4 linked regions of the Tamandua tetradactyla genome follow. The protein of the gene in region 2 interacts with the protein of the main gene of each other region in a pairwise test. Links are inferred from orthologs where the notes say so. Each region holds a gene or a part of one and is shown on either strand. Other genes may lie near its edges. The genes, in order: apolipoprotein L6-like, ADAMTSL4, SHFL and AMMECR1.

Region 1 (7,305 bases), on a different chromosome or scaffold from region 2:
GAGAAATGCAAATTAAAACTACAATGGGATTCCACTTCATACTTACTAGGATAGTTATTTAAAAAATGGAAAAATAGTAACCCTCATACCTTGTCGGTGGGGATGGTGTAGCTGCAGTGGAAAACAGTGTGATGGTTCTGCAGAAAGTTAAAACATAAAATCACCACCTGACCTGGCAATTCCACCGTTTTGGTTTGCTAGCTGTTTGAATATGATATATCAGAAATGGAATGGCCGTTAAAATGGGGAATTTAATAAGTTCTGCTAGCTTACAGTTCCAAGACTGTGAAATGTCCACATGAAAACAAGGCTATATAAATGTCCAATCTAAGGCATCCAGGGAAAGATATCTTGGTTCAAGAAGGCTCTCAACTGGAAAGGCAAATGACAAAGACAGCGATGTCTACTAGCTTTTTCTCCAGGCTTTTTGTTTCATGAAGTTCCCCTAGGGTTCTTTTCCTTTTTTTTTATCTCCAAAGGTCTCTGGCTGTGTGGGCTCTTGTGGTTCTCATGGCTCTCATGGGTCTCCTGTGTGGCTCTCTCTAAAATGCTTCCTCTTTTCCAGTAAGCTAATCAAGACCCATAATACCCACAACTGGGTGTGTCAGAATCTCCATGGAGATAATCGAATCAAGGATTAGAAAATTCTTTCAAAGATTGCTTTTGCAGGACAAGACAACCTCTTATAAAGAACCTGTGTACACATTCTATTCCCCAGGACATACTGATTTCATTAGAGGGACCCCCCAGACTCTAGCTGAGGGTTCTGGTGGGGCTGAAATCCTCCCCTTGACAAGCAGTGAGACCTGGGGGGCCATGGCCAAGGAAGGAGAGGCCATGTGTCTATCTGGAGAAAAGAGAACATTGGTTGGTTGATTGATTGGACAAAGGTGCCATCTACCGGATCTACTTGAGGGGCATAAGGGAAGTGGGCATCTTCTAATACACATTCAGGCACCTAAGAGCCAGTAGTGACTCTGCTTTAACTTGTATTTTATTTTTATAAACCATAAGCTTGCAAGACAGGAAGCAAGTAGATCACTTAGGAAGTGATTGCAGTAGTTGGGGCAAGGGGTGATAACCTGCACCAGGCTGGCAGCAGTAGCGGTGGTGAAAAGTGACTGGATTTTTGGGAAGCAATCAGGACTTACCAGTGGCTGAGGGACATAGGAGAGCAGAATCAAGGATGTCTTCAAGCTCTGGAGCCTGAGCAACCATTACAATGAAGAAGCCATTGATGAAGCTGGGAAAGGCTGAGGTTTTGGGGGGCAGGCTGGATGGGGAGCCACAGAGTTCAGTTTAGGTCATGTTACGTTTGAGGGGCTTGTTAAACATTCATGAGATACTGAGTAAGCAGTGGACATGTGAGTCTAGAGTTCATGGAAGCATCAGTGTGGAAACTAATTAAAGCCCACAGATGGGATGAGAACCCCAGGGAGAGAGTAACATAGAGGCAAAGTGAGTGCGATGGTTAGGTTCTGACATCAACTTGGCCAGGTGATGGTGCCCAATTGTCTGGCCAGGCAAGCTCTGGCCTAACCATTCCTCCAAGGACATTTCATGGCTCTTTGGTAAACCAAAAGGCTGGTTTATCAAATTATCAGTCAGTTGAAAGTATCCGTGGTTGATTAAATCTACGATTAACTAAGGGCATGTCTCCCGCAAATGATATAATCCAATTGGTTGGAGTTGATCTGATCTGCTAAAAACATATAAGGGAGAAGAGAGAGTTTTCACTGCTTCTTCAGCCAGTGAGCCTCTCCTGTGGAGCTCATTGAAACCCTTCACGGGAGTTGCCAGTCTTGCAGCCTGGCCCATGGGTTTTGGGACTCTTGCATTCCCATGGTTGTGTAAGATTCTTATCAATCTCATATTTACAGATTTCTTCTGTCGATTCTGTTTCTCTAGAGAACGTTGACTAATACAGTGTGGTTCAGGAAGAGGAAAAAACAGCAAGAGACAGAGAAGGAGAAGTGAAGTGACATTTGAGGAGAACCAACTGAAGGTGACATTTTGGAAGCCAAGTGAAAGAAAGCCTGAGGACCACTGACCCATATTTGTGTATCTCTGTATTTCTGGGTCATTTTGTTTCCCATCTTTCTCTTACAAACAAGGCATCACCGGATCTGTTTTACCCTCCAATGAAATGGCTGGCCTGGAGGAAAGCATACTTTCGCAGATTTGAGATCTTTCAACATTCAAAAGGGTTTGTCCCTGCTGTTTCCCACAACCAGAGGGACAGGATATCCTGGCTAGGAAGAGATGTTATCTCCCCCACCCAGAGAAACAAACAGACTAATAATGAGCATAGAGAGAACAGGGTTAACTGAATTCAAGCCTGTCCCGCCACTTATCAGTTTTGTGAGTTCAAGAAAATTAATTCACTGCCTTAAGACTCCCTTTCCTTGTCTGTAAAATAGGGTGGGAAAATGCCTGCCTCAGAAAATGTTAAGGGTCGATAGTTTAAGCATTTGTCCCTATTGGAAATGGGATAAAAATACTCTGTTCAAAAGAAAAGACTCAAACTGGGTGAGAAAGCAAAACTCAACTCTACACTTCTTACAAGAGATACATCTAAAAGAGAAAAGTTGAAACTAAAAAGAGGCGAAAACCACAGTAGGCAAGGGAAGTGGCCACGTGTTTATGAAAAGGGAGCAAAGATTATGGAACTTGATTGCAGTTGTGCTCACACAAATTTACACACGTGATAACACCGCATAGAACTACACCCACGCACAAGTGAGTGCGATGACGATGGGAGAGGATTTGAGAGTTTAGACACTATCCATAACAATCTTTCTTTAATTGCTTGGAGAGCCTCTAACTCTACCATATTCTCCAGCAGCATCTCCCTGGGAATACCAACTCCCTTAACTTACACTCTAAGTAAGAAAAGCCTGCTACTCTAAAAATAGAGCTTTGAGGTGATCCCCCTAAACTTTATCACCAACACCCCTCCCCCACTTCAAACTACTCCAGATAAACTGACAAGCTAGCAAAACTCACCAGTTTGCTTTACAGTTTCAAGACAACTCACCCAGCATCTTTTTTTTTTTTCTGAGACGATATCACTCCTAAACAATGCCCATCAAGGCCAGTGCCGTCTCCTACATCAGTCAGGGGTGTCGGTGCCCCCAGCCAAGAGAGGAGAAGATGTCATTCCACACTCTTCAGCATGTTTTCACTTAAACTTCAAACAGCCCCATGAAGGAGAATTCCCTGTCCTGATTTGGCATGGAAAGAAGCTGAGCCTCTCAAACCCACCAAGTTAGTATCTGCCTGGACAAGGGATTTGAACCCCCGTTGCCCTGACAAAAGCTGTTTTTCCTGCACCAAGAGGCTTTGTAGCTAACCCCTTCAGGGAGCGCAGATGCAGCCTGCCTCCCACCCTCCCTCCTGCTGACCCACCTCCCCTCAGCGAACCTCTCCCTGGAGGACTGGCCTGAGGACAGGAAGTCAGCAGCTTCTAGCCTCGCTTCTCCAGGGCCTCTGACCAGGCCAGGCCAGGAGTGTCCGGGCTACAGTGGAACAGCTGCGAAGTGCCGTGTCTCAGGCAGTATCAGGAATCCGGGAGCAGCCCGAGGCTCTGGAGGCTGGCTCTGGGCAGGGCTTGATTGCACGAATGACTGGGCTCCGCTGAAGAGCTGCGGAAACTCCCCACTGGAACTCTTCCCAGAAAGCATCTGTTTGCTGAGAAATGGCTCACACTTTCACTTTCCTTCTTGTTTCTTCCTCTAAGAGGTGCACGGTGCGGTGGGGGTGCCGCATTAGGCAGGAGGCCTGAATTTCCTATCTGCCCTCCTCCACTTTCTGGCCATGTGGGGGGCAGTATCAGGGATAGGTAGGGCCACACCGGGGTTCTGAAGTCAGGTCAGGCTGCATTGCTAGAGCTGGTTTCTCAGCTGCCACCACCTGCGCTCCCCATTGCCGCGTCCTCTTTTTCCTCCCCGGTTTGACACGGTTCCCTCAAGGAAGGGCGGTAGGCAAGGCCTTCAACGCCCCAAAAGAGGACGAGGCATAAAATGGTGTAATAGAAAAATACTGGGATTAACGACACTAATTGTGTGTTTCTTGTTGCTGGTTGTGCTCCAAGCATTATATCAAAACGAATCAGAAAGCAAAAGAATTGGAAAAAATGATACAAATTGTACAAATTGCAAAACCTTGTTAATGACTGTTTGGAAAAAAATAGGTTGGGACGCCCCCATTAAGCAAGTCATGCTGCAGATACAGCAGGCAAAAGTGCTTTTAGAACAAGTCACAGAAAAGTACCCCATAGAAAGTAAACACTTACAATTAAAAAACCCTGCATTGAGCCATCCTGGAAATTTACTCCCCACCACGGCACCGGTCCATTGCTATAAAACAATAAAAAATCTAAGTAAACAATGTAAGCTTTTAATCAAAACAAGCTAACCTTTAACCAGATTAAAATAGGTCTTAACATATTGCCTCACCTGTAGAATAATAGGAAAAGAAAGTCTAAACTCAGAAAACTACAAATACAATGTCTGTGGTTTAAGCCAATATCTTGCTGCTATTAAAATCTTGTGTAAGTGTTCCTAAGAAAATCAGAACGTGTACTTTCGCTTTGCTTCCCTGAACCTGTAACTTTACCTAAAACGTAAGCCATGACACAACCATGATTCTGTGATACCTGTTTCCTTGCCAAGAATAAGGGTATAAAATCAGTTAAGCAAAAATAAATCTAAGCAACTCTTCTCAGAGGAAAATTCTCTAAGCTGTCTCTTGGTGTTCTTCTCACGCCGACGACCCTCCACACCTTCAAGCCCGTTCCCTCTGCTGCGGCTGGACCGCGGCACCCCATCTGTGAAATGGGAAGAAAATAGCTAGCTCCTGTGGCACAGAGCCCAGGCAAAAAAGAACCCCTTGGCGAGCATGTAACAGGCACCCCACAAATGAAGCTACGGTGGTGATGATGGGTGCAAAATCATTGTCCTACGTGCTATTCAGCCTGATCCTTGTAACAACCTGGTGAAGGGTTACAAGGTCTAATATCTTTTATCTGTGATACTGAAACAGGAAATGCTCTCAAAACCAAAAGTTTGAGGATAGGGGCCAAGATGGCAGCTTAGCAATGTGCACGTTTTAGTTCGTCCTCAAGAACAACTACTAAATAACCAGAAACAGGACAGAACAGCTCCTGGGGCCATGTCAGTGACCGGACACACAGCATACCCCAGTCTGGACCAGCTGGACTGGCTGCGAGCCTCCCCAGAACCATGAGTTCCCCAAGCCGCAGTGGCCGGTGCCCCTCCCCAACAGGCTACTTCCCAGAGGGGAAAAGAAAGAGACTTTAACAGCAGCAGGGGCTGAGCCCAACCAAACACCAATTAACAAATTCCGACTACTAAAAATAGGCCCCCAGCTCAGGTGAACCTGGTCAAAGCGGAGGTCACTCATTGGGCTGATGGAAAAAGAAAAAAAGAAAAGAAATAGAGGCTTTTGTGGCTGTGTTTCTACAAAGACTTGACTGCCTTTGGATACAGCAGCAGGACTTCTCAGGCTGCAACTGCCACAGGCATAGGCAGAAACAAACTCATTTGAGGTCTTGTCTGGAGCCTGTGCTTTCCCCAGGGGAGGGGTGAGGCCCAACTCAGGTGGAATCCCTTCCTCAAGGAATTCAGACACCAGGGCTTGGTAATTTGAAGCCATTAAAACAGGCCTACAACCTCTCCTCTGTCTCCACCATGCCCCCAGCAGGGAGAGTCTGCCAAAGTTAAAGGTACCACATCATCTTATGCTGGTAGGACCTGCAGGCAGATAAGTGCCACATACTGGGCAGAATAAGAAAAACAGAGTCCAGAGACTTCACAGGAAAGTCTTTCAACCTGCTGGGTCTCACCCTCAGGGAAAACTGGCACAGGTGACTCTTTCCTCCTGATAGGAGGCCAGTTTGGTCTGAGAAAATATGACTGGCATCTATAATACCTACATAGAGCCTCCTAAGGGTTGGGGGGAAAAGGCACCATACAAGCAGGGCAAGAAACAAGAAAACAAGAACTGAAAAATTCTCCTCTGTTAAACAAAACCTAAGCTAGAGGTCCAGAAAAAGCTGAACTGAAGGTCAAAGAACAGATAGACAACAAATTCATCCAGCAAGAAAACCCTAAGTAAAAGAGGTGAAAGTAATCTACAGAATAAATTAGTTAAGATAATTAAATGTCTAGATGCCAGCAAAAAATAACAAATCGCACCAGGAAAATTGAAGATATGGCCCAGTCAAAGGAACAAACCAACAATTCAAATGAAATACAGGAGCTGAAACAATTAATTCAGAATATATGAACAGAGATGGAAAACCTCATCAAAAACCAAATCAGGGTGGGCCATGGTGGCTCAACAGGCAAGAATGCTTGCCTGCCATGCCCGAGGACTTGGGTTTGATTCCCAGTGCCTGCCCATGTTAAAAAACAAAACAAAACAAAATCAATGAATTGAGGGAGGATATAAAGAAGGCAAGGAAAGAACAAAAAGAAGAAACTGAAAGTCTGAAAAAACAAATCCCAGAACTTATGGGAATGAAAGGCACAGTAGAAGCAATGAAAAACACTGGAAACCTACAACAGTAGATTTCGAGAGGCAGAAGAAAGGACTAGTGAACTGGAGGACAGAACACCTAAAATCTGACAAGAAACAGAAACTATAGGGAAAAAAATGGAAATATATGAGCAGGGACTCAGGGAATTGAATGACAATATGAAGCGCATGAATGTTATGGGTGTCCCAGAAGGAGAAAAGAAGGGAAAAGGAGGAGAAAAACTAATGGAGGAAATTATCACTGAAAATTTCCCAACTCTTATGAAAGACTTAAAATTACAGATCCAAGAAGTGCAGCATACCCCAAAGAGAATAGATCCAAATAGACGTACTCTAAGACACTTACTAATCAGAATGTCAGAAGTCAAAATCCTTTAACATTTAGTGTTATTATTGTATGGGTAGTACTTTCTTCTACCATTTTGCCTTTTGGATTTTATATGTCATATCTAATTTTCCTTCTTTTTACCTTTACTCGGTCTTCCTTTCTACACTCTTCTCCACACCTCTCTCTTTTGTCTTTTCGTATCTGTCTCTAGTGCTCCCTTTAGTATTTCTTGTAGAGTTGGTCTCTTGGTCACAAATTCTCTCAGTGATTTTTTGTCTGAAAATGTTTTAATTTCTCCCTCATTTCTGAAGGACAATTTTGCTGGATACAGAAATCTTGGTTAGCAGTTTTTCTCTTTTAGTAATTTAAATATATCATCCCACTGTCTTCTCACCTCCATGATTTCTGCTGAGAAA
Region 2 (7,102 bases):
CTCGAAGCGGGCCACCCCTTTCCCGAGGCTCTGGCCTGTACAGGGGGAGGGTTTCTCGGGAAGTCTGGGGCCTGGGGCCCCGGACCCGGGGCAGCAGGGCTTCTGGATGTCTTGGGGGCCGGGGAGGGAGAGGCAGGCCCAGGTGGAGGTGAGCTGGAGGGAGCTGGCATGTCCGGCTTCTGCGCTGCACCCCCACCCCACAGGGCTGCGAGCAAGACGCCCACTGGCCCCAGGGGCCCCAGAGGCCCTCGAAGCCCTGGCCCTCCTCTGAGGGTGTCTGAAGAGAGTGTCCAGACAACACCTGTGTAGAGAAAAAGGTCAGAGAGAATTCAAATGATTTCGAGGGAACCGTAAAGGCTATGTCATCACCCGAGGTCACATCTGTTGGTGGAGGCCGGACTAGAACTTGGTTGCCTTGATGTGCTTGGTGCTGGGAAGGTGACCGGGGAGGCTGGGGGCCCTGCGTGAGTGACACGGGCCCCGGCTTGGTAGGGCCGAGGGAAATGGAGGCACGTCCTGGAGCTGGGGGTGGGAAGCACGGGGAGATGGCAGGGGTGCCAGGCAGGCGGCGGGCCCTCACCTCCCTGCTCACCTCCTGGTCCAGGCAGAGCGGCGGGAGGGTGAGAAGCAGCGTCAGCCACAGCCTGGGCCTGCGGGGCAGAGGCGGGCATGGGGGTGTCAGACGGGGGCCTGGCAAGGCGCCGCCCCCCTCATCCCCCAGCAGGCTCCCTCCATCCTGAGTGTCAGCTTCTCAGAGAGCAGCGTTTCCTCACTTCCCCGGGGCCAGCGGTGATCTCCTGTCCCTACTTCCAGGGGTGGCCCCCCCCACCCCGCCAAGACAACCCCAGCTCCTACCTGCCGGGCCACCTCTCCATGGCTCCTCCCCCGATTGCCCGAAGGCAGGGACACACTACTCAGGCATCTGGGAGCGGTGAAGCCCCGCGGTGACCTCTCCAGGCTCCAGGGAGCTGCAGATGGGGAGGGATGGGCGCTCAGGAGGCCAGATCAGAGGGGAGGCGACGGGGAGGGGGAAGCCCAGCACACCCCTTAAGGCCAGGCCCCCGGGTGGGAGCAGGAAGGAAGGGCCTGTCCCCTGCCTCCCAGCAACCCTGGCCCTTCCCTGGCCAGCCCGCCCGGGCTCACACACAGGTAGCCCCACTCTCAGGACGGTCTTTACCCGGAGCCCCACCCAGAGGACCTGGAAAGTGGAGGGAGGTTCAGGGAGGACACCACAGCTCCCCTCTGAGGGGCTGAAGGAGCAACGTGGGCTTTCCAGAAAAGATCTTTCCTAAGCATCCTTTTTCCTACTGCCCAGCGTTCCCTTCCCTAAGCAACTTATGCTGCCGTCGTCACATCTCTGCCTGCCTCACAGGCTTCCCAGCCCAGGGATAAGATAAGGGGGGCGATGGTTTAATCTCTAGAGAGGAAGCAGATTTAACCATCGTGTTTCCCCTGCACTCTGGGCTCTAGCATCCTGCCCTGGCACAACAAGGGCTTGTTGGAGCCACTATGACCGGCTGGGGACACCCGGGACGGGGAGTGGTGCTCGGGCCACCAGTGCGCCCCCATCACAGGCTGGCATCAGAAGTGCTGGGAAGTCCTCCCCGGAGTCCAGCTGTAGTCACTGGGGAAGGGGGGCCTGGAACTTTCCTCCGGCCTCAAAGCCTGACTCCCCATTCCTCCTTGCCCTCCAGCCCCCTCCTTTTCAATTTGAGTCCTTCCAATCTCCCCGCCTCCGCCCCTCAGCCTGCTTTTAATTCTGCTTTCCAGGAAAAAAAAATTGTGTTTCTGTTGGAGCTGAAAGCACCAGGAGAGGAGTCCAAGGAGCCAGGGCTGCAGTGGGCCAGGCGGGGGTTGGGGGAGAGGGGGCAGGAGTGGCCGGGGGCTACAACCCTCAGCTCACACCCCGGCCCAAGGTCCCAGGACAGGGAGTTCTTGTCAGCTACAGCCATCGGGGCAGGGGACTGAGGTTCTAGGAAGCAGTCACGTTCCACCCACCCCGTCACCCCTCGGCTTGATTCCTACGAACCTTTACTTGGGGTTGGTCACTGCCTGTCCCCTCTTCACTGCCCTGTCCCTGCTTCCCTCTGCCACCCGGGGCCTGTGTCCTGTCATCTCCTTCCCCGGGTCTCCCCAGGACACACTCCATCCGTGCTGGCTTTGGCTCTGGCAGTTCCCTGGAGTGAGGGGTGGGGGCTTGGGGGTGACGTGAGCTCCTGGGGCCCTGGCCAGGCCTGGCTCCCTCTCTGGAAAAGTCCCACCCAGCCTCCCTGCACAGCTGGGCAGGGGCCCATGGTCGCCCTGTGGCAGACAACGCATCTGCACCCCTCACCCCTGCTCGAGTCCCTCACCTGCCCAGGACAGGAGAGGCCAGAAAGGCAGCCGGTGCCAGGCTGGACAGTGGTCTGGACGAACTTGGGTCCTCCTGGCCACACCCCCAAACCGGCCGGCAAAGATCCAGGAGGGGGCCGGGCAGAGGGAACCCCTGCACCCCAAGGGCCCACCTCAGGGGATGAGGTACCCCGGGAGGGGTGTGTATGTGGGGGGGTACAGTAGGCCTCTGAGCGGGCAGCGGGGACCCCTGTCCTGGCCCCTCGGCTCCCTGCCCTCAGCGGACGCCCCGGGTCCCCGACCCGCCTGGACAGGTGGCCTCTGGGGGAAGTCTCCCGTAGCCAGGCCGAGCTGGACCGCGGGCCCCGCCTGCGCCCGCCCAGCGCCCCGACCCCCGACTCCGGAGGGCGGGGTGGGGGGCGCCGGCTCCGAGGGGTCCGGGGTAAGTTTCCAACTTTCCCGCGGGGCTGGCGGCCAGGGGGGCTGCTTCCCTGCCCGCGCGGCGGGGCCGGAGGTCTCCCAGACCAGAGCCCCGCCCCGGGATCCCACGCAGGGCGGAGGCTCCCCGGGGCTGCCAGGGCCGGGGTGGGGGGTCCCGCGGGTCGGTACCTGCTCGGCGCACCCCGGGCTGCCCGTCGCCCCTCGCGCCGCGCTCTGTCCCGCAGCCCCGCTCGGCCGCGGCCGCCCGCGCCCGGCCCCGCCCCCGCCCCGCCCCCTGGGGGACCCCCCCACCCCGCCGGGGCCGCCCACCGCGGGCCCGGGGCCGAGGAGCGGCCTCCCGCGGCCGGAGGGGCGCCGCCTGGGGGTGTCGGCCGCGCCGGCTTGGGGGACCCCGGCGCCCCCCCCGACCCCCGGCCCGCCGGCGCCCGCGTGGGTCCGAGAGCGCATCCCCCTGCGCGGCGGGCGCCGCCGAGCCTCGGCCTGTCCACCCCGGGCCGGCTCGGGGGTCCCCGGTTCCGGCGCTTCCCGGCCCCGCGGCACCCCCGTGGGGATCGACTCGTCCACCCGGGGACAGCGACGGGCGCCATCCGTTCGCGCCTGGGGACCGCCGCCCGGACGCCCGGGGGCGGGCAGTGAGGGGTCGCCTTTTCTACATGCTTACGTTCTAGTTTTTTAACCATAAGCCCTATCTAGATATTAATTATACTAAAAATTAATAATTTATGTAAAATTGTTAATGAACGGTCACTTTTTTGTTGCAGGCTTTACTCATGACGCACGGTCATGTTTTGTTGGGTCTACGCAGTGTTTTAAAGTTGTTGCTGTTGTGGGTTTTATTTTTTTCAGTGACTTGTCAATATTTTAAAACCAGCTTATTTTATAGCGTTTCTTGAAAAATGAAAGCACAAAAATAGAAATTCTAGCAACATTGTCCTGGATCCCCACAAAACAGGGCTCTTGGGGCCCCACCTAACATTTCCTAAGCACCTAATACATTCATGCTTAGGGCAGGGTTGGAAGAGGCGCCCAGGGTGCCAGGAGCCACAGGGAGGTAAGTCCTGGGCACAGCAGAAGAAAATGCCAACTGGAAGGAGATATTGGAAGGGACGCAATAAGATGCTATCAGAATGTAAGAATTGCGTCCTTATTTGAAGTTGAACATGCATGTTTTATATTCTCAATAAAAATAAGTTCTTTCAGGCCAAGGACTATTTACGCTGCTTTGTACTGTCTATTTTTCATGTTTCATTTTTGCACTTGTAGGGAAATGTTTGAATTGGAAGGCTAGAGACCAGGAGAGCAAGTGTTGGGTGCCTAGGCTGGGCCTGCCCCCCTCCCCTCCCGAGCCCCCAGCTCGAGCCCCCGACCTGGCTGCGGTGCTCAGACCCCTGACTTGGTGAGGCTGCAGGATGATGTGCTCAGAGCTTTTTGTTTTTCAAGAGAAGTTATATTCCGGTTTTAAAATATTGTCAAGTCACTGGAAAAAAAAAAGCCTTTAAACCACTGAGTAGACCTTACAAAACACAACTGTGGCCTCCAGCTTGGGCCTTAGCTTAGCCTTCATATTTACTGTTTTCCCAACGGGTTTGGGCAAATAATGGGTTAATGCTCCCCCCCTCCCCCAGGAATCCTGCTTTATCTTCATCTGGATACTGCTGGTGACACACAGTCCTTACAGAGACGTGTATTTATAGTCGTGGGTGAGCGCAGGATGCCCCTTTGCCCAGTCCTCAAAGTACAATACAGACGAGGAGACACCCAGCCTGCAGGCGCAGAAGGAGATATATTAGGCCAGGACCTTTCAGTGCCCCTGTCACACCCCATCAGCGTCCACTTATCTACAAGGAGGCAGCGCGGGGACAGGAAGGTGGGACTGAGACCGTGGGAAGGCAGCCGGGTGGAGGGGGCAGGTCCTCCTTTGACATTTGTAACTGCCGTGAACTGAAGGCCAGAAATAGTTCTTTCCATTAAGAAATGGCTGCAGACCAAAGAGTTCACAAGGCTTACAACAGCTGTCACAGCCCATGATAGGATGGTCTGAAAATATTGTATAAAGATAAGAATTTCCTATGCCTCAGCAACTTCTGAAGTACTGGATTAAATTTATGGACATTTTCTCGAGGATAAAAAGAAGCTTCAGTCCCAGCAGAGCTGACACAGGTACGGACACGTGAAGAACAGAAACACAGATGTCTGGAGCTGCTTGGAGCCCAGCAGACCTCGCCATGACAGGTGAGACAAGCCAGAACCTGCAGAGGCAGATGCTCACCACATGACTGCCCAGCTGACAGAGGGGCTCCTGACCCATGGACCTTCCTTGAATGAAGGTAACCTCTTGTTGGTGCCTTACTTTGGGCGTTTTCATTGCCCTAGAAACTGTAAACTTGTAACTTATTAAATTCCCCTTTTTAAAAGCCAAAGAAGGAGAAGAAGAAGTATCTGAAAAGATGATGCAATTTGGGAATGTAAAGTGGTGCAACCACTATGGAAAGCAATGTGGCAATTCCTCAAAAAGTTAAACCTAGACTTATCGTAAAACCCTGCAACTTCATTCCTAAGTATCTACTCAGAGAGAAAAAAGCACAGTCTCAAAGATATCATTGTAGAGTTCGTAGTAGCATTATTCACAATAGCTAAAAGGTGGAAATAACCCGAAGTGTCCATCATAGATGTCCATCATTCCACAGGAAAGAATGAAGTTCTGAGACATTACAACGTGGCTGGAACTTGAAGACGTCATGTTGAGTGAGCTAAACCAGATGCACAAAAAGGACAAATATTGCATGATTCCACTTATATGAGACATCTAGAAATAGTACATTTGCAGAGACAGAAAGTGGATTTAGAGGTTTTGACAGGAGGGAGAGGTTTGCTATTAACTTTATAGATAAAGATTAATAAAAAGAAAAAAAGATTATGTTATGAGTAGCTGGTCACCCAGAAAGTATCTCTAGGTCTCGGATAGGTAAAGGACAAAGAGAGGGAGGCAGGCTGAGTGTTAGTCTGACTTTGAGCTGAAAAGACTGACTTACTAAGAGCACAGCTAACCCATGCAGCACTTTGTTATATGTGCCATAAAAGCTTTATGCAATTTGGAAATGTAAAAGTTCCTCCTTCGCTCCTCATAGTCATGCTGTGAGGTGGGGACTGTTGTGCTATTTGCAGACTTGGAAACAAAGACACAGAGAAAAATTCAGTAACTTGCCCCAAATCTCCAGAAAGTGGAGATCCTAACTTGGCAGGATTCTAACTTGGGCACTATCTGAATATTTTGGGCAAACAAAACTTTTGAGAAAACTTAGCTGAGTGCACTTAGCAAATCATTTTTTTTTTCCCAGTAGTAGATTGAGGAAGTTGTCATTGTGTTGAATTAAATAACAGTTTAGAAGAAGACCTTCATGTTTCATGTGTGATGATCCTAAGCCGAGATAATGCTGATGCGAATACCAGCGGGTGTGGGCGGGGCCTAGACACTGATGTGACACCGCTGGGTCTTTTGGTGTGTGGGTGTGTGGTCATTGCACCATTTGCAGAAATCCTGGTGTTTGCCTTTCTGCCTCTCGGAATCATGGTTTGCTCAGCTCCTTTGTTCCAGAAGAGCCACTCCATTCCTGATTGCTGCACGCCAGGCTGGTCTCTGGCTGTTCATTCCCAGCGTCCTGTCACATTGTCTCATGCTGTTTTTCATTGTTCCACTGATGTGAGTCTCCTGACCATTTGGCTCTGGCTTGGCCCCTGAGCCCACTCCCCATGGGAGTTACCAGAACAGCTCAGTGTCACCTGTTCTTTATGAGGAACCTGGAGCTGGAAGCCAGCCTGCCTTGTTTACGGTCCCCACTCTATCTTGCACGTAGTAGGCATCTGGTCCATGACAAGATGGACTAGACAAGAAATGGCGAGCTTTGCCTCCACTCTGGCCACATTCCAGCACTTTCTGTCTGTTGTTTTGCCTCGCCCTGGCTGGGCTGGTCGTTAGGTGATAAGGAAACAGGATATGACCCATTTGGTAGGATGAGGGCTGGCATGGAACTCCCTGATCTCCTAGTCACTGCTCTGTAGACTTAAAATTTGGTCAGAAATTCCCAAAGCCAAAATCCTTCTTAATTTGGTTTCCATCTACAGTGCCTCTCTGGTGGGTCCGGGGCTTCTCAGTTGCAGCCTTTGCCTCGGTGCCACTCTGAGCCACATGTCTGTTGATCAGTGTTAGGAAAACAGGAAGTGCTCGGTAAGTGTTTATGGAATTGAATGGATTGATTGGACATGGCTGATCTTGGAAGCCATTAGATTCACAAAAGTGGCAGCACGTTGACAACTGTGTCAGGTGGTTTGA
Region 3 (7,081 bases), on a different chromosome or scaffold from region 2:
TCAGATGTGGGGTTGTGGTTTTGGGGTAAAGCTTGATTTGCGGGGGGGGGGGGGGGGGGGGGAGGGGGCGGGGCGCAGCCTCCAACTGTGCAATTCGGGGTTCAGGCTCTGGGGCTTCTCCAATTAAAAGCTCATAAGTCCAGCTCCGGGTTAGTGATTTAGGGCCGAGGTGGACCTTGGAGGTCAGGGGTCAGGGGTCAGGGGTCAGGAGCCAGGCTCTCCGACATGGATGTCCTCGGGTCAGAGGGCCAGGCGCCGAGGATGGGGGCCGGGAGCCAAGTTCGGGAGCGAGTCAAGGTCGCGAGTCCGGGTCTCACCTGCTTGCGCTCGGGCACGCGACGCCACCAGACATGGTCGCAGCTGGAGCAGGCGAACTGGTGGTCCACGGCCGGGATGAGGTCCTCCTGCGCCCGCTGGAACATGCGCAGGTTGGCTACCGTCAGCGGCAGCAGGGACGTCGCCACCTCCTGCGGAATTGGGGGGGGACGGAGGCGGGGGGGTCACCTCTCCTCCCTCTGCAGGGGTCACCCCTCCCCTGACCACTGTCTTCTGCCCTCGTGACCGACTTCACTCCTCCTTCCCCCAGACACCTCCTCACAGCAGAGGCTGCTCCTCCACCCCTCCCCAGGGCCCCCCTCCGCCTCGTCCGCCATGGGTGCCCCCACACATCCCCCCCAAGACCTGCGCCAGGTGCCGACTCACCTTAATGTCCTGGTCCTGCTTCATGTCCTCAGGGGGGTCCTGGGTAGAGAAATGAGGAGCTCCTACAATTGGGGTTCCCGGAGCAGGGGTGGTGGGGGAAGGCGGGGGAGGAGGGCCCCAGCCCAGCATGAAGATGGGGGTGCCCCCGACTCACGACGAGCAACATCCACTTGCACCTCCATTAGTTAGAGGTGTGCACACCTGTTATCCCCATGGCTCAGATGGAGAAACTGAGGCCAAGAACTAGAGACCCCGCGCTCCCACCCTGCCCACCAACACCATCTTCCACTGTGAGTGCCGCCTCCCCAGCCACACCCTGGCTGGCCCGGAGACAGGTCCCCCTCCTTGCAGCAGCCTTGCAAAGCCCGGGATTCCCAGAGCCGCAGGTTCGAATCCCGGCTCCACCACTTCCAGCTGCGGGCCGTGGTTCCTTAAGTTGCATCTCAGAGCTCAGACTCTGCCTCCAGGTGGGCAGGGTTCGAATCCCAGCTGCCACCCACTCGCCCATCTGCCTGGCAACTGACGTCATCACTCTGGACCTCAGTTTCCTTGTTTGTGAAATGGGAACAATAAGTAATAGAACCTAACTCCTGGGCTCCGCTGTGAGGCTGAAATAAATCAACACATGTAAGATTCCTCCAGCCCTGCCACATGGGAAGTGCTAATCCCGGTGCCTGGTTTTTATTACAGGTTTATGACTCTACGCTGTGCCTTTTAGGCTGGTAAAATCCAGTCTACCAACCACCAAAGCCCTGTTTCGAAAAGGCAAAGCAGCTGCGTGCTTCAAAGCCTTTCATCCATCCATCCATCCATTCATTCATTCAAAACACGAGCTCCCCGGCCGCCTCACCTCCCCCATCTCCTGCTCACCCCAGTCTTTCCAGGAATGAATGCCCCTCTCAGTTTCCTTTCTCACACCATCCTTCTTTCCGGACGCGATCCGTCCCCTCCTCTTTGCAGGGCTCACTGCTTGCCATCCTTTAAGACGGGGCATCACCTCCTCCAGGAAGCCTTCCCTGACTTCTCACAACCCCCCACCCCAGGATGGCATTAATTCTGGCTCCTGTCACTGCCTCCCCGTTTTAATCCAATCCGCACATATCGAGCGCCTGCTGTTTGCCAACTCCCTGGCCGGACACAAATACAGAGGTAAATAAGCAAATAAATTTGGACCACGAGTTGTGGACTGGCAGTGCCCAGTTCCTTCTGCTTTGGAGGGGGGGAGCTCTGGGTGGCTGGGCTGGTCCCTCTGCCCTCCCCGCCCCCATTATCCCCGCCTCTGAAGGGAGGGAGCAGATTACCTGGGTCTCCAGGTCACTGCTTAGTTCCTTTCCGTCTTTCTGCTTCACCTCTGGTGGAGACAGCAGGTGTAAGTGAAGGGCCCTTGAAGAGTCTGGGGATGTTTTAGGCCACCCTCCCCCAGACCCCCTGCAGCACAGACCCTCCCCAAGGCTGGGGCCCCCAGCAGGTGATCTCAACGCCTCTTCCCTCCCTCAGTCAGGCCAGGTCCCTCTCGGCGCTTCCTCCACATCACCCAGCCCCCCCCCCAGCCCCCTCACCGTACACGATGGAGCGCCCCACACCGGTGTGGTCGCTGTCGTATTTCCGCATCAGAGCCCCCGCCCTCTCGGAGGAGACCTTCCCATGAAACTTCTCCCGCAGGCGCCGGGAGCTCTTCTCCAGCTTGGAGTGGGGCACGGGGGTGAGGGTGGGGGAGGCTGCGTTGGGGGAGGCGAGGGGCGCTCGCCCCTCCACCAACCCTAGGCAGCGCTCTCCCGCCCTGAACTTGACCCTTGCTTTTGGCCTGGCCGCCCCCCCCCAGCCTCCCCCTCCTTCCACGCACTTCCTGGAAAAATCCAAAGTCCCTACAGGGCACTGGGGGCAGGGGAGGGCGAGGAGCGGCGTCCCGGGTTTAGGAGGGATGCTGGCCAGGGAGTCCCTGGCTCTGAACTCTGACCCCTGACCCTGCAGCCCCCGCTTGACCCCGGGGTGAGGCGCGGCGGTCACTCTCCTTCCTGAGGGGGGAGCGAGGGCCAGCCCGGGGGGGAAGGTCTGGGTTCAGGATGGAGCGGGGGGGGGGGGGGGGTTCCCCGGGAAACTGCGAAGCCCGCCGCGCGCCCCGGCTCCTCCCCCCGGCGACTCTCCGGGTCCCCCGGGGCAGCCGTGGCCGTCTCCTACCTCCACACCTTCCTGGGACATGGCGGCGGCGGCGCGGGGCTCCCCGAGGGTCGGCGCTGCGCGGCTCGGCAGTCCCCCGTTCCTGGCTGCGCTCGGCGGTCCGGATGCCGCGCAGGGCGGGGCGGGGCCTGGGGGCCGGCCCCGCCCTTCTTCCCTGAACCCCTCTTTCGCTTTCGTTTCTCTGGGCTTTGGGGAGGTAGGAGAGGAAATGAGGCACCTGGGCTCTTCCTTGGCTCCGCCCCGGCTCGTGCGCCCCAAACCCGGGCGGGCGCCCTGGACCCGCGCCCTGCGGCGGAGCGCGCGAACCCGGGGCGGGGAGGGGGCCGGTGCGGCCTCTGCAGTCGGTCACATGTGCCCACGCGGCGCGGGCTCCGCGTCTTCACGTCCCTCGTGGGGGCGGGGCCGCATCGCCGGGCCGTGGCGGGGCCCCCGAGCCCCCCCGCCCCCGCTGCGCCCCGTCTCCCCTTCCCCGCCGAGGAACCAGGCCTTGGGATCCCCTTTCCGTTCTGAGCCTCTGAGCTGGCCGGAGCCCTCCTCGCCACCTCAGTTTACCCCTCTGTAAAATGGGGGCGCTGACAGTGGCTACATCCTGGGGGCGGGCAAAGCGGGAGGTCGGGCCTCGAGGGCCTGAGTTAGGGCACTGGGCAGCGCCTCGCAGGTGCCAGGTCCTCAAATGGTCACCCGACTAAGCGCTCGGGGCTCGGAGGAGGGGGTGGGGGGGTGCTTGTTAAAAATTCAAGTGCTCGGTTCTACAGCCCGCTGGTGGGGGAAAGGACTCTGGGGAATCTCCATTGTCACTCTGGAGGTTGGGAAACCTGTGAGCCGGGAGGATTCTAACCCTGCACCTGGAGCCGAAGGAGCCCTAAGGAGAGGCACCGGCCCAGCCCAGCCCAGGGCCCCCCAAAGATAGCTGCTTGGAGGAGGAGGTGCTGGTACAGAGTCCGTGAAGTTTGAGGTCTTCGTTGGGGCTCTGGGCCTCTGTTACAATTGAGAGAAGCAGTTGAGAACCTGGCGCTTTAAGGCAGTTTCTCTGCCAGGACACTAACATTTTGTTCTAGATAGTTCTTGGGGGGGGGGGAGCGGTGATGCCCTGTGCTTTGTAGGATGTTTAGCAGCATCCTTCGTCTCTACTAACTAGATGCCAGAAGCCCCCCCGAACCCCGGTCAACCCAAATGACTACAGAAATCCTCGAGTGTCCCTTGGGTGGGGTGGGTGAATTGCTTTAGGGTAAAAGATGCCAACATTTTTTTTCCTTCAATTTTCTGCACCCCAATCAGTAAAAATGCTGAAACTGAGCCCCATATGAAAGTTTCTTTATTTATAAATTACATGCAAATACAACTCTACCAATAGATTCTGCAGATTGGAAAACAAAAAGCGGTGATTAAAAGATTGGGGTGTTCTAATGTATTCTACGTGAGCCCCGAAGGTTGGTTTGTGGGGTGGTGCACCCCCACTTTGCAGGCTTCTGTAAGTGAAGTGCAAGCAGTTCATGGTCTTTGTGGCTGGAGGGTGGGATTTCAGGTGAAGAGAGGCGCCTGTAGTTGTACTGGGACTTTATCCTGAGGGTAGTGGGAAGTGAGGATGGACCCTGAGACCCATGGACTTCTCCCGTCAGAGTTACCAATTAGTAATCTGTCTCGGTGGAGGGTAAGGTCACAGCCGTGTCCCATCCCCTGAGCAGGGTGGGTACTGGGTGGGCAGGAAACAGGGTCTGATCCAGGCCTGGCTCAAATCAGGTCTGCTAGATTCTAAGAAAGACAGCCGTGACTTTGAGCACCTATTCTGTTCCTAGATGCTGTTCCAGGCATGGTAGATACAGCAGTGAAGAAAACAAAGATCCTGGCCCTTCTGGAGTTGGTGTTCCAGGGCGGGGGACAGGCAAGACACAAATACATAATATGAAGGGGGGTGATAAATCCTAAACTGAAAAAGGAGCTGGAATAAGAGGATGGGGAAATGTAGAAATGGGGGGTGGGGGAGGGTCACAGGAAGTGACATTTGAGGGGAGACCTGAAGGAAGGGAGGGAAGGAGCTATGCGGATATCTGGGAGGAGAAAGTTCTAGATGGGGGAACAGCAAGTGCAAAGGCCCTGAGGTGGGAGCATGGGCCTGTCGTTATCAGTTGTGTTAGTTTTCATTGCTGCGTAACAAATGACCCCCAAGTTTGGTGTCTTAAAACAACAAACATTTATCTGATACAGTTTTTTTTTTTTGAAAAGAATAAGTAAAATCAACTTTACTTGCAGACATAATCTTATATACAGAAACCCTAAAGGAATCCACAAAAAAACTATTAGAGCTGATGAATGAATTCAACAAAGTGAGAGGATATAAGATCAACATACAAAAAGCAATTGTGTTCCTATATGCAGGTAAGGAACAATCTGAAGAGGAAATTAAGAAAACAATTCCATTTATAATAGCATCTAAATAAATAAACTATCTAGAAATAAATTTAACTAAGGATACAAAATATTTGTATACTGAAAACTATAAACTACTACTAAAAAAATTAAGGAATGCTTAAGTAAATGGCAAGACATTCATGTTTGTGGATTGGAAGAGTTAGCCTTGTAAATATGTCAATATTCCTTAATGCCACATACAAATTCAATGCAATCCCTATTAAAATTTCAGCAGCCTTTTTTTCATAAGTGGAAAAACACATCCTCAAATTTATGTGGAACTGCAAGGGGTCTTGAAACCCAAACCATCTTGAAAAAGAACAAAAGACTTGGAGGACTCATACTTCCCAAATTACAAATTGTATTACAAAGCAACAGTAATCAAAATAGCGAGGTATTGGCACAAAGACAGAAAAATAGACAGTCAATTGAAAGTCCTGAAATAGACCCATACATCTATGGCCAATTACTTTTTTTTTAATTAAAAAAATTTTTTTAAACATAATGACATACAAACATGAACATTCTTACCATATGATCATTCCATTCTTGGTATATAATCAATAACTCACAACATCACAGACATCACCATGAGCATTTCTTAAAACATTTGCATCAGATACAGTTTTTGTGTGTCGAAAGTGGTTTAGCTGGACCATTCTGGTTCAGAGTCTCAAAAGTTTGCAGACAAGATGTTGGCTGAGAACTTGGCAGGTGAACCCATAACCCTCCCCCTACATGGGACATGACTCCCAGGGGTGTAAATCTCCCTGGCAATGTGGAACAGAACTCCCGGGATGAGCTGGGACCGGCATCACGGGACTGAGAAAACCTTGACCAAAAGAGGGAAGAGAGAAGTGAGACCAGGTTTCAGTGGCAGAGAGATTTCAAACAGAGGCAAAAGGTCACTCTGGAGGTTATTCTTATGCATTATACAGATATCCTTTTTCAGTGTATGGTGTTTTGGAGTGGCTAGAGGGAAATACCTGAAACTGTTGAACTGTGTTCCAGTGGCCTTGATTTTGAAGAAGATTGAACAACTTTAGGGCTTTTAAGGTCTGTCCGTGTGATTATGAAAACGTTGTGACTGATGCTCCCCTTATCCAGTGTAAGGACAGATGAGTAAGAAAAAAAAAAGACAAAAAATAAATAAGCAATAAGGGGTGGGGAGGAAGGGATATTTTGGGTATTCTTTTTACTTTTATTTTCTTTAAAAAAATGTATGGAGCTCCTACTTGGAACGATGGAAGTGTTTTGGCAATGGTAACCTGACACTGTGAACATAATTAACAGCACTGAAATATATAACTGAATGTGCTTTAAGGGGACATGTTACATTGTATACATATATGGTACTAGGATAAAAGAATTTAAAAATCCATGAAACTGCACTGTACAAACAGCAAGCCCTAAGTTAAACATGAAAATGCCCTTTCACTGGTTGTAACAAATGAACCACACCAATGCAAGGTATCAATAATAGGGTGGTATACGGGGACCCTGCATGCATGATTTCTCTGTAAACCCACAGTTTCTCTAATTAAAATATATAGGGCTGGCCACAGTGGCTCAGTGGCAGAATTCTCACCTGCGATGCTGGAGACCCGGGTTTGATTCTGGTGCCTGCCCATGTAAACAAAAAAAAAAGAAGAAAAAATATGCATGTATATACTGGCTGGGGCTGCATAATCTGGAAATTGGCCTGGGGCTGGAAGGTTTACATTTCAGGTGGCTCCGTCACATGGCCGGCAGGCTGGTGCTGATTGTACTGGCTTCCCCGGAGCAAGTGAGC
Region 4 (7,982 bases), on a different chromosome or scaffold from region 2:
ATATAATTCCTAGGAAAAAAAACTGTCTATTTATGTCTGATGGCAACCAGGATAAAGCCACACTAAGTACACAATACCACTAATTACTTAAAGCAGGAAGAAAAAATGTGTGGTGGATTACTAAGGCACTGTTGAGTGATTAGGTATTTTACCCAAATAATCAAACACTGCTTTTAAGATTTCCTGAAATTTCCATAATATACTTCAAAATGACTTTAAGATAAAACTTTCTACTGCAATCCTCTTAGGACTTAAGTGAACTTTCATTCTCTCCTTGGTCATGTTCAGAGCATACTTTAAATTAGTTGTTTTGTAGAATACATGACATTCATGGCCTGCTAAGTTATAACAATTATTCTTCCACTACATTTTAACATATCCACAGTGGTCAAAAGTGTGTCTTATTTGTCTGTTTAATTCCAGTTGTAAAAACATAGAAAATAAATCCAGTACCTGGGATATAAGAAGAGAAACCATACCTAAATACATGTGCAAAGTAGCCATTGTTAAATGATATTTTCAAAAGCATTTTCTGTATGACTGTTCAAACTCACTTCTCCTGCTAAAATTTTTGTTATATTCATTCAGTTAACCCAAACATTTTTAAATGTGTGAAAATAGCACCTCCTGAAAGTGTATTTTCATATACTTTGGAGCAATGGAGCCTGAATACCAAAACAGCGTTTGCCAAACTCATGTAACAGCTCAAAAACTAAACAGGAGTGAATTTTTGCAGTCCCATGACTTTGCAGCGCCAACTTAAGTATCATCCCAGAATCCAAGAAAAGTCACATATAAGTGACTCAAGCTAATAAATATTTCATAGATTTTTACATGATAGTCTTTTCAAAATGGATTTTACTTCCTGAGAACCAAAAAAATTAATTGACTAAATAAAGATGTGGACTTGGATTTAAGCTCCTAGAATTAACACTATAACATTTATAAAGATATTTAATTAATTTGAAAAAGTGTCAGCCTGGATGTCCTTTCATACATTCCTTATGAACCAGTGTCCAAAGGCAAACCAGGCCTGAAAGAAAATGCAAGATCACAGAAATGTCATACAAAATTAAATACATTTAATATATTAAAGCCCAAAGAAAACAAACTATACGAATTTACCATTTCCAGGACACTTTTATTACAACTTCCACTTTACACAGTAATTTAATATTTTTAGACTAGGCAGAAGTGTTTATGTTTATGCAGTAGTAGTCCAATTGTCTAATCTCACAAAATGAAAAGAAGCTGTTTTAAAAAACATCAATTCAGGTAGTTATGATCCAGGAGACAAGGGGCACTTGTCTTAGCTTGAAAAAGGGATGATGCTTTAAAGTACAAGTTTCACTGAAATTTTCATCTATTATTTTCCTTGTTGATGCCAAGTAATAAAAGCTATTGCCCTCTTTCTCATCCTGCTCTTCCTTGGTTTTTACAGTCTGTCTAGCATTTAACGCAAAAAGTCAGTTTACACTTAGTTTACACATTTAAAAAAAACACATGACCCACCTCCCACACATCCAGATGGACAGAGATTAGGGTTAACCTGGCTTTTAGGCGTAAGTGTTATTTTAAACAATTTCAACCACACTCTTGAAGGGTAAAACAATTAAAATTAAAAGTACAAACAAAGGAAACCATTAAAAAAAAAAAAACCCTACACATTTAGTTGGGATCGTTTGGATATTTCTCAAATTGTCGAGTATAACACAGATACAGAAGTGAAGTCGACACAAAAGCGAATGCACGCTTTATGTACAAGCTGACAGTGGCTCTGTGGAGACAGTTCTCACTTTGAATGAGCTATTACCCAGAAAGTAGAATGAAAAAAGAAGGAGGAAAAAGGTCTCACTTCTCAACGTGAGCGAGCTGGCAGTGCGTTTCACTAAAAACACATTTTAATGGGTATGTTCGGATATAAATAGGTATAAGGGGGAAATGTATTTTTTAAAAAATCCCCTCCAGGACACAGGGAAACCCGGAGGAAAAGATGGGTAACCTTCGCACAAGCTCCGGAGAGAAGTTGCATCAGTAGCAGAACAGAAGTTGGATAGTTACTATTTTTCACCCTGCAGTGGGATAGATAGTAGCTCTCCAAGTGCAAGATACGCCGGGCGGGAATACCGGCGGGGCTTTCATGTCGGGTAAGGGAAACCAAATGAGGAGAGGTCAACACCTTTAGTAATCCATAGCTACAAAACCCGGGTGGGGGAGTGGCGAAAGAAGGAAGGAAAGGGTCAAAACTCCTCGAAGTTCTCGCAAAGAGAAAGCAAACACCTCTGGGAGCCAGTGAGTCATCCCTTGCCGCAGCACCCCGCTCCAAGAGTGGGGTGCTTCCCTCGTAGGGCAGAAAGCGCGGGGTGTCTTTAGGTCGAGTAGCTCCAGAGACCCGAGCAGCGAGAGGAGCAGGGACCGCCACCGGGGGGGAGGCGGACTCGCACTTTGCCTTAACTCTTAGCCCCATCCCGAGCGCAAGCGAGAGGGCGGCGGAGGACAAGGTACTCACTAGGGCTCGTTGGTGAACCGGGGGGTCCGTGGCTGCTGGTATCCATACAGGTGACAGTAGAGCACATCGAAGCAAAAACAGCACATATCTGCTGACACCACCATCTTCCGGGAGCCGGGCGATGAGGACGAAGCGGCGGGCGATGAGGAGGTCGAGGAAGAGGTGGCGGGAGCCGGGGTAGAAAGTAGGGTCCCCACTCCGCAGCTCGGAGGTGGCGACAGGGAAATGCCCCCGCCGCCGCCGCCCTGGGGGGGAGAGAGGGCACAGCCGCTGCCGCTACCTCCTCCGGTTAGACCTCCCAGTCCGTTGAGCCGCGTGCCGGCGCCTCCTAGTCCCAACTCCCCCGCTCGGCACTGGCTCTCTCCGCTGCAGTGGGAGGAGGAGGAGGCGCCACTACCGCCACCCGAGCCAGAGGGGGGCGAACTGGACAGTTTCTGCTTCTTCACCCCACAGCAACCCGCCGCCATCTTGGAACAGTCTCCCCCACGCAACGCTTCCGACCCATAAGTGAAGCGAGCTGGCAGCGGGGGCGAGCACGCTGAGGCCCCAGCCGCCGGGAACGCGCCGGGGACTCGCGGGGAGCGCGCGCGCCGCTGCCCTGCCCCGTTGCCCGGCTACGCGACTCCCTCGGCGCGCGTCCCCGCCTAAGCGCGCGCCCCACTCTCCTGGCGTTTGAGGTGCCTCCGGCCAAGGCGCGCGTCACGACCGCCCGCGGAGGGACTTCTGTGAGCTGAAGCCCGGAGCCCTGAGCCCCGCAGAGGATGGAAGGCGCGAAACCGAGTAGAAAGGAAAGTGAAGGAAACGACAAGACAAAGTGGAGTTTGGGAGCAAAGGGAAGAGGTGGACACGCCTCAAGAGGAAGGAGCGAAAAGGAAACTAGTGGGGCGGGGGTGTGGGGTGGAGGAAGAAGAAAGTCCAAAGTAAGCATCCAAGTCGAAGAGCTCGGATCGATGATCCGCGTGGGATGTATGAGTTAATGACACTTGAGCCGCGCGCTAAGCGAAACTTGAGCCACCCGGCCTCAAATACGCTGGTTTCTGAACTGTTGGCGTGTGAACAAGCAGGTGCTCGGAGCGCCATACCTGATACCGCCCCTGTAAAGTATGAATGTATAAAGCAATCCAGGAAATGGTCATACTGTAGAATCTTTGATACCAATCTGAGCGCACACCGCCAGTTTCCCGAGCAATACTCTTTCCTGTCCTTACCGACAAATATTCAAGCGCTATTGAATCTCTATATATCTTGTACTTTTCCCCCCAACTTTCCCTGCTAGCCCCGTGAAAGCGTTTGAAAGTGGAAAGTGCTATCCAACACTTCACTGTTTCAAAACTGTTAATTGTGCTTTAGGACTTGGAGTAGTAGGTTTTGGGGGGTTGTTTCTTGGCTTGGGAATATAGCAATTAGAAATATACCTGTTGACTTCAACTAGAGATATGAATGAAGCTGATCTGAATAGGACTAAGGTAAATCAATACAGTATAAAGGATGACATGGTCAGTATTTTAAAACTTCAATTTCTGTGTGAGACCAAAAGGAGGGAAGTGTATTTGGTGCAAAATTTGTATATTCTGTAGCACACTATGTAATTTAACTTGTATGGTCAGCTTATTCCAACACATAATAGCATGGATTCTTGAATAAGGGAGTGAGATCTTGTTGAGTTGTACAGTTAATGTGATGTCCCAATATATTGCAGAGTAATTTGGGCAGAGAATAAAAAAGTATTTGTGAAGTCCCCTTGAAGGACTGGGGGAAAAGGAGGAAATGTTAAACTTCCCGACCTGGAGAATTCCTGATACTCTCACAAGTGTTGTGGACAACCTATTTAATAGACTGAGCCTCAATCTTGGGGCTCACCCCTATAAAACTTACTCATGCAAAGGAGAACCTAAGCCTACTTATAATTGTGTCTAAGAATCAGCCCCAGAGAACCACTTTTATCACTCAGATGTGGCCGCTTTCTCTAAGCCAACTCCACAGGTGAACTCACTGCCCTCCCCCTATGTGGGACATGAGTCCCAGGGGTGTAAATCTCCCTGGCAAGGTGGGACATGACTCCAGGGGATGAGCCTGGCCCTGGCATGGTGGAAGTGAGAAGACTTCTTGACCAAAAGCAGAAAGACAAATGAAACAAAGTTACAGTGGCTGAGAGATTTCAAATAGAGCCCGAGAGGTTTTCCTGGAGGTTATTCTTATGCGTTATATATAGCTATCCCTTTTTAGTTTATGGTGTATTGGAGTGGCTGGAGGGAAGTACCTGAATGTTGAACTGTGTTCCAGTAGCCTTGATTCTTGAAGATGATTGTATAACTATATAATTTTTACAATGTGACCGTATGATTGTGAAAACCTTGTGGCTTATGCTCCCTTTATCTAGTGTATGGACAGATGAGTAAAAAAGTAAGGACAAGGAGTAAAAAATACTTGGGTAGATTACATTACTAGTGGTCAATAAGAGGGAGGGGAATGGGTGTGGAATGTTGAGGCTTTTCTTTTTCTTTCTTTTTTTGGAGTAATGCAAATGTTCTAAAAGTAACTATGGTGATGAATACACAACTATGTGGTGATATTGTGAACCATTGATTGCATATTTTGGGTGGACTGTATGGTACATGAAGATAGATCAATAAAAATGCTTTTTTTTAAAAAAAAAAGAAATATACCGTAGTCGACACAGATCTTACAGGTAAATAAAGTAGACTGTTTACCTAATCACAGGTCAAAAGAATTTATTCAAGTATATAAGTAATTCTTAATGTTCAAATTTTAAACTTCTCAATGACGAATGCGTCAGTGGTTGAGGAAATGGATGATTAAGTCAATGCAATTCTGCTTACTTAAAATGCAGCTAAATAAGTAAATAGTATCAATAATAAAATGTTAAAATTCATAGCAATAGAAAGGATAAGTCATTTGCATTGTGCCTACACCATGCCAAAACTGCTAGACAAAGTTAGGTATCTGCATATTTGAAAATATCAGAAAATGATTGATTTTTGTCACCTTTGATCTAAATGTGTGGCATCTTGCAAACAGCTGGGAACTGACTGTTCATTCCACTCAGGAAAAAAAAAGTCTAATTCGATAGATAGATAGACAGACAGAAATTGAACCCCTGCTCCATACCATGTGCACAACACTGTACTTATGTTGAACTGTAGGGAATACATATGCTTCCCACACTCAAAGAGTTCATGAATTAAATCCAATCTACCGATAAAATAAAATAAATAGCTACTATTTTTTAACACTTTTTAGGTGCCTCATCTTACCCCATAATGTTTCAAAATAATATAGTCTCTCCTTTGATTTTCACAACAACCCTTTGAGATTGCTCTTTTAGAGATGAGGAAATTGAACCTCAGAAGTAACTTGCCCAATTTCATACACTCAGAAAGTGACAGCCATGATTTGAATTCAGGCATATGTGATTCAAAAAAAAAAATGTCATTATGCTATACCACCTCTCCATACCAATATATGATAACAAGGTTAATGATGAACATAAGATAATTATATTTAACTATGGTAGGTAGAATGGAGCTTAATCAAATATAAGAACTTAGTTACGGAAAGATTGAGAGTCACTAAAATATATTACCATGAAAAGAGGAAGAATCTCCTTCCAAAAAGAGTTCAAAAAATAGACAGATCATCTGTCTGTGATGCTTAGATGCAACCTAAAGACCAAAGTGATGGATAAGCTAGTTTGTAATACATGATTGATATTATCCTCTCAAACCTCATCATCACTGTTAGAACTAACCTCATATTTAAGGCAAATAAGAAATCATTGTCAACTATTAGTGGTGTAAAAACAACAGCATTAATTTTTTTCTGTGTTGCAGAGGAAAGAGAAGATTGATTTTTAAAAAGCAAACACAACAATTTGTAGGTGTTTTTGTTTGTTTGGTTTTTTGTGCTATATTCTTAACTCTCAGAGCCTACCATTTAATTCGTTTGAAACTGGGTCAAATATAACATCAGACAATAGGTACTGATTTACTCCCCAAAACACTAAAAAATGATCACTTCCAGAGTAGAAACCTAGAGCCATTTAGTGACATCACCCAACAGTTTAGCATAGGAAGCAAAGTAGGATGCCATGGATGACTGCTTCTGCTAGGGGAATTTAGGAAAGCAGAATGTAATCTCCCGATTTAGAATTTGGCCAGTAGACAAGAGTCTAACGCCCCTACTCTTGTGAAAATAGCAAGAAATCTTTAATAAGCACCAGTAGTCGTGTCCTTAGTTCTGCATTTCATCTAAAGGACAAAGCACTATCATGGCTATTGTACCAGCCTAAAGGACTGATACAATGGGAAACCCAAGAACAAGGACACCCCAGCTGAATTACAGAAATAGCTCTCCCCTTCCCTGCCACGCAAGGATTTTTATTCCAATTCCAGACATCACTAGCACAAAAGAAATAGACAAACCCAAACATGATCATTACAGAAAACATCGTCTTACCGCTAGGGGTTACTATCTGAAGTACTTTGTTGCATTGGCTAAGAAGCGAAGAAACATTCTAGTCTTTTTCTCCGTATTAACTTCTCCTGAGCTTGGCTCATCTGCCATGTTAACCTTGAGCCTCAAGATGCTCTTTAAATTCCCTGGCAGGTAATGATGGTGGTAGTGATGGCAGTAATGCCTCCTTTTAGACTCTGAGGCAATGCCTTTCCTGGTCTTTTTTCCTTGTAAAGTCACCAGCACAGAAGTAAACATATTTCATTCAAACATAAATGAAATCTACAGATCAAATTCTGTGAACATGGGTTGTTGAGCAACTATGGAAAGCGCACAATGGTGGGAAAACTGACCTTACTCAGGAATCTCTAGACTTGAAGTATAAAGATCAAAATGTGATAGAGCAATGTGTTTCTAACCACTGCTGATACTGCAGTGAAGTGATAATACCCTCCAGAGGAAATATTAAGGTGCCTTCTGCTCTTTGTAACTGACTATCAAGCTGGGAGTTTAAGATTCCATGCTTCTTTTAAATTAAAAACAAAAACAAAAAAACCATGGCTTCTTTGTCAACAAAGCACATTCAAATTTTAATCATTTCTACATCTGTCTGCCTCTAAATTGCTGTTAACTAATTCTCTTATCAAATGTTTTGTTATACAACTGTGAAAACTATTCAAACAAAGGTTATGCATATAATATACTATGTGGTGAAAATGGAAATTGAATTAAGCCCAATAGTTACTGATTATTTTATCTCAATTTATTCTTATGTTTGTAGCAGTTTTCTTTTATTCCAAATAATAGAAAAATAATTAGTATTTGATGAGGTAGAGAAAACTTGTTAATGTTGCAAAATTGTTTTCTTAGGTTTCTGGGGGTGTGGGTGAGACAAGAAATGTTCACATAGTTCAATGAAAAAAAACTGTCATTTATGCCGAAACAAGTGTTATTTTTATCCTCTGTCATCAAAACTTCTCAACTGTCATCCTTGAACAAC

The links.
Region 1: the proteins of ADAMTSL4 (region 2) and apolipoprotein L6-like interact in binary tests that used the Homo sapiens proteins (3 or more experiments, as listed by UniProt). The two-hybrid records come from large-scale screens. The link is inferred for Tamandua tetradactyla from reciprocal best matches to the Homo sapiens genes ADAMTSL4 and APOL6.
Region 3: the proteins of ADAMTSL4 (region 2) and SHFL interact in binary tests that used the Homo sapiens proteins (3 or more experiments, as listed by UniProt). The two-hybrid records come from large-scale screens. The link is inferred for Tamandua tetradactyla from reciprocal best matches to the Homo sapiens genes ADAMTSL4 and SHFL.
Region 4: the proteins of ADAMTSL4 (region 2) and AMMECR1 interact in binary tests that used the Homo sapiens proteins (3 or more experiments, as listed by UniProt). The two-hybrid records come from large-scale screens. The link is inferred for Tamandua tetradactyla from reciprocal best matches to the Homo sapiens genes ADAMTSL4 and AMMECR1.

Annotation. Positions count from the first base shown.
Region 1 is NC_135333.1:28,018,933-28,026,237, reverse strand, and holds the start of apolipoprotein L6-like, read right to left. Parts: upstream 3,011-7,305; 5' UTR 1,219-3,010; coding exon 1,152-1,218; intron 138-1,151; coding exon 90-137; intron 1-89. UniProt on the Homo sapiens protein: May affect the movement of lipids in the cytoplasm or allow the binding of lipids to organelles.
Region 2 is NC_135330.1:5,200,555-5,207,656, forward strand, and holds the start of ADAMTSL4 (ADAMTS-like protein 4), read right to left. Parts: upstream 3,013-7,102; 5' UTR 2,941-3,012; intron 2,456-2,940; exon of another isoform or gene 2,352-2,455; intron 969-2,351; 5' UTR 876-968; coding exon 856-875; intron 651-855; coding exon 581-650; intron 302-580; coding exon 1-301. UniProt on the Homo sapiens protein: Positive regulation of apoptosis. May facilitate FBN1 microfibril biogenesis.
Region 3 is NC_135337.1:91,635,154-91,642,234, forward strand, and holds the start of SHFL (shiftless antiviral inhibitor of ribosomal frameshifting protein), read right to left. Parts: upstream 3,013-7,081; 5' UTR 2,902-3,012; coding exon 2,881-2,901; intron 2,386-2,880; coding exon 2,262-2,385; intron 2,054-2,261; coding exon 2,004-2,053; intron 742-2,003; coding exon 703-741; intron 468-702; coding exon 318-467; intron 1-317.
Region 4 is NC_135353.1:60,430,830-60,438,811, reverse strand, and holds the start of AMMECR1 (nuclear protein AMMECR1), read right to left. Parts: upstream 3,002-7,982; 5' UTR 2,977-3,001; coding exon 2,510-2,976; intron 1-2,509.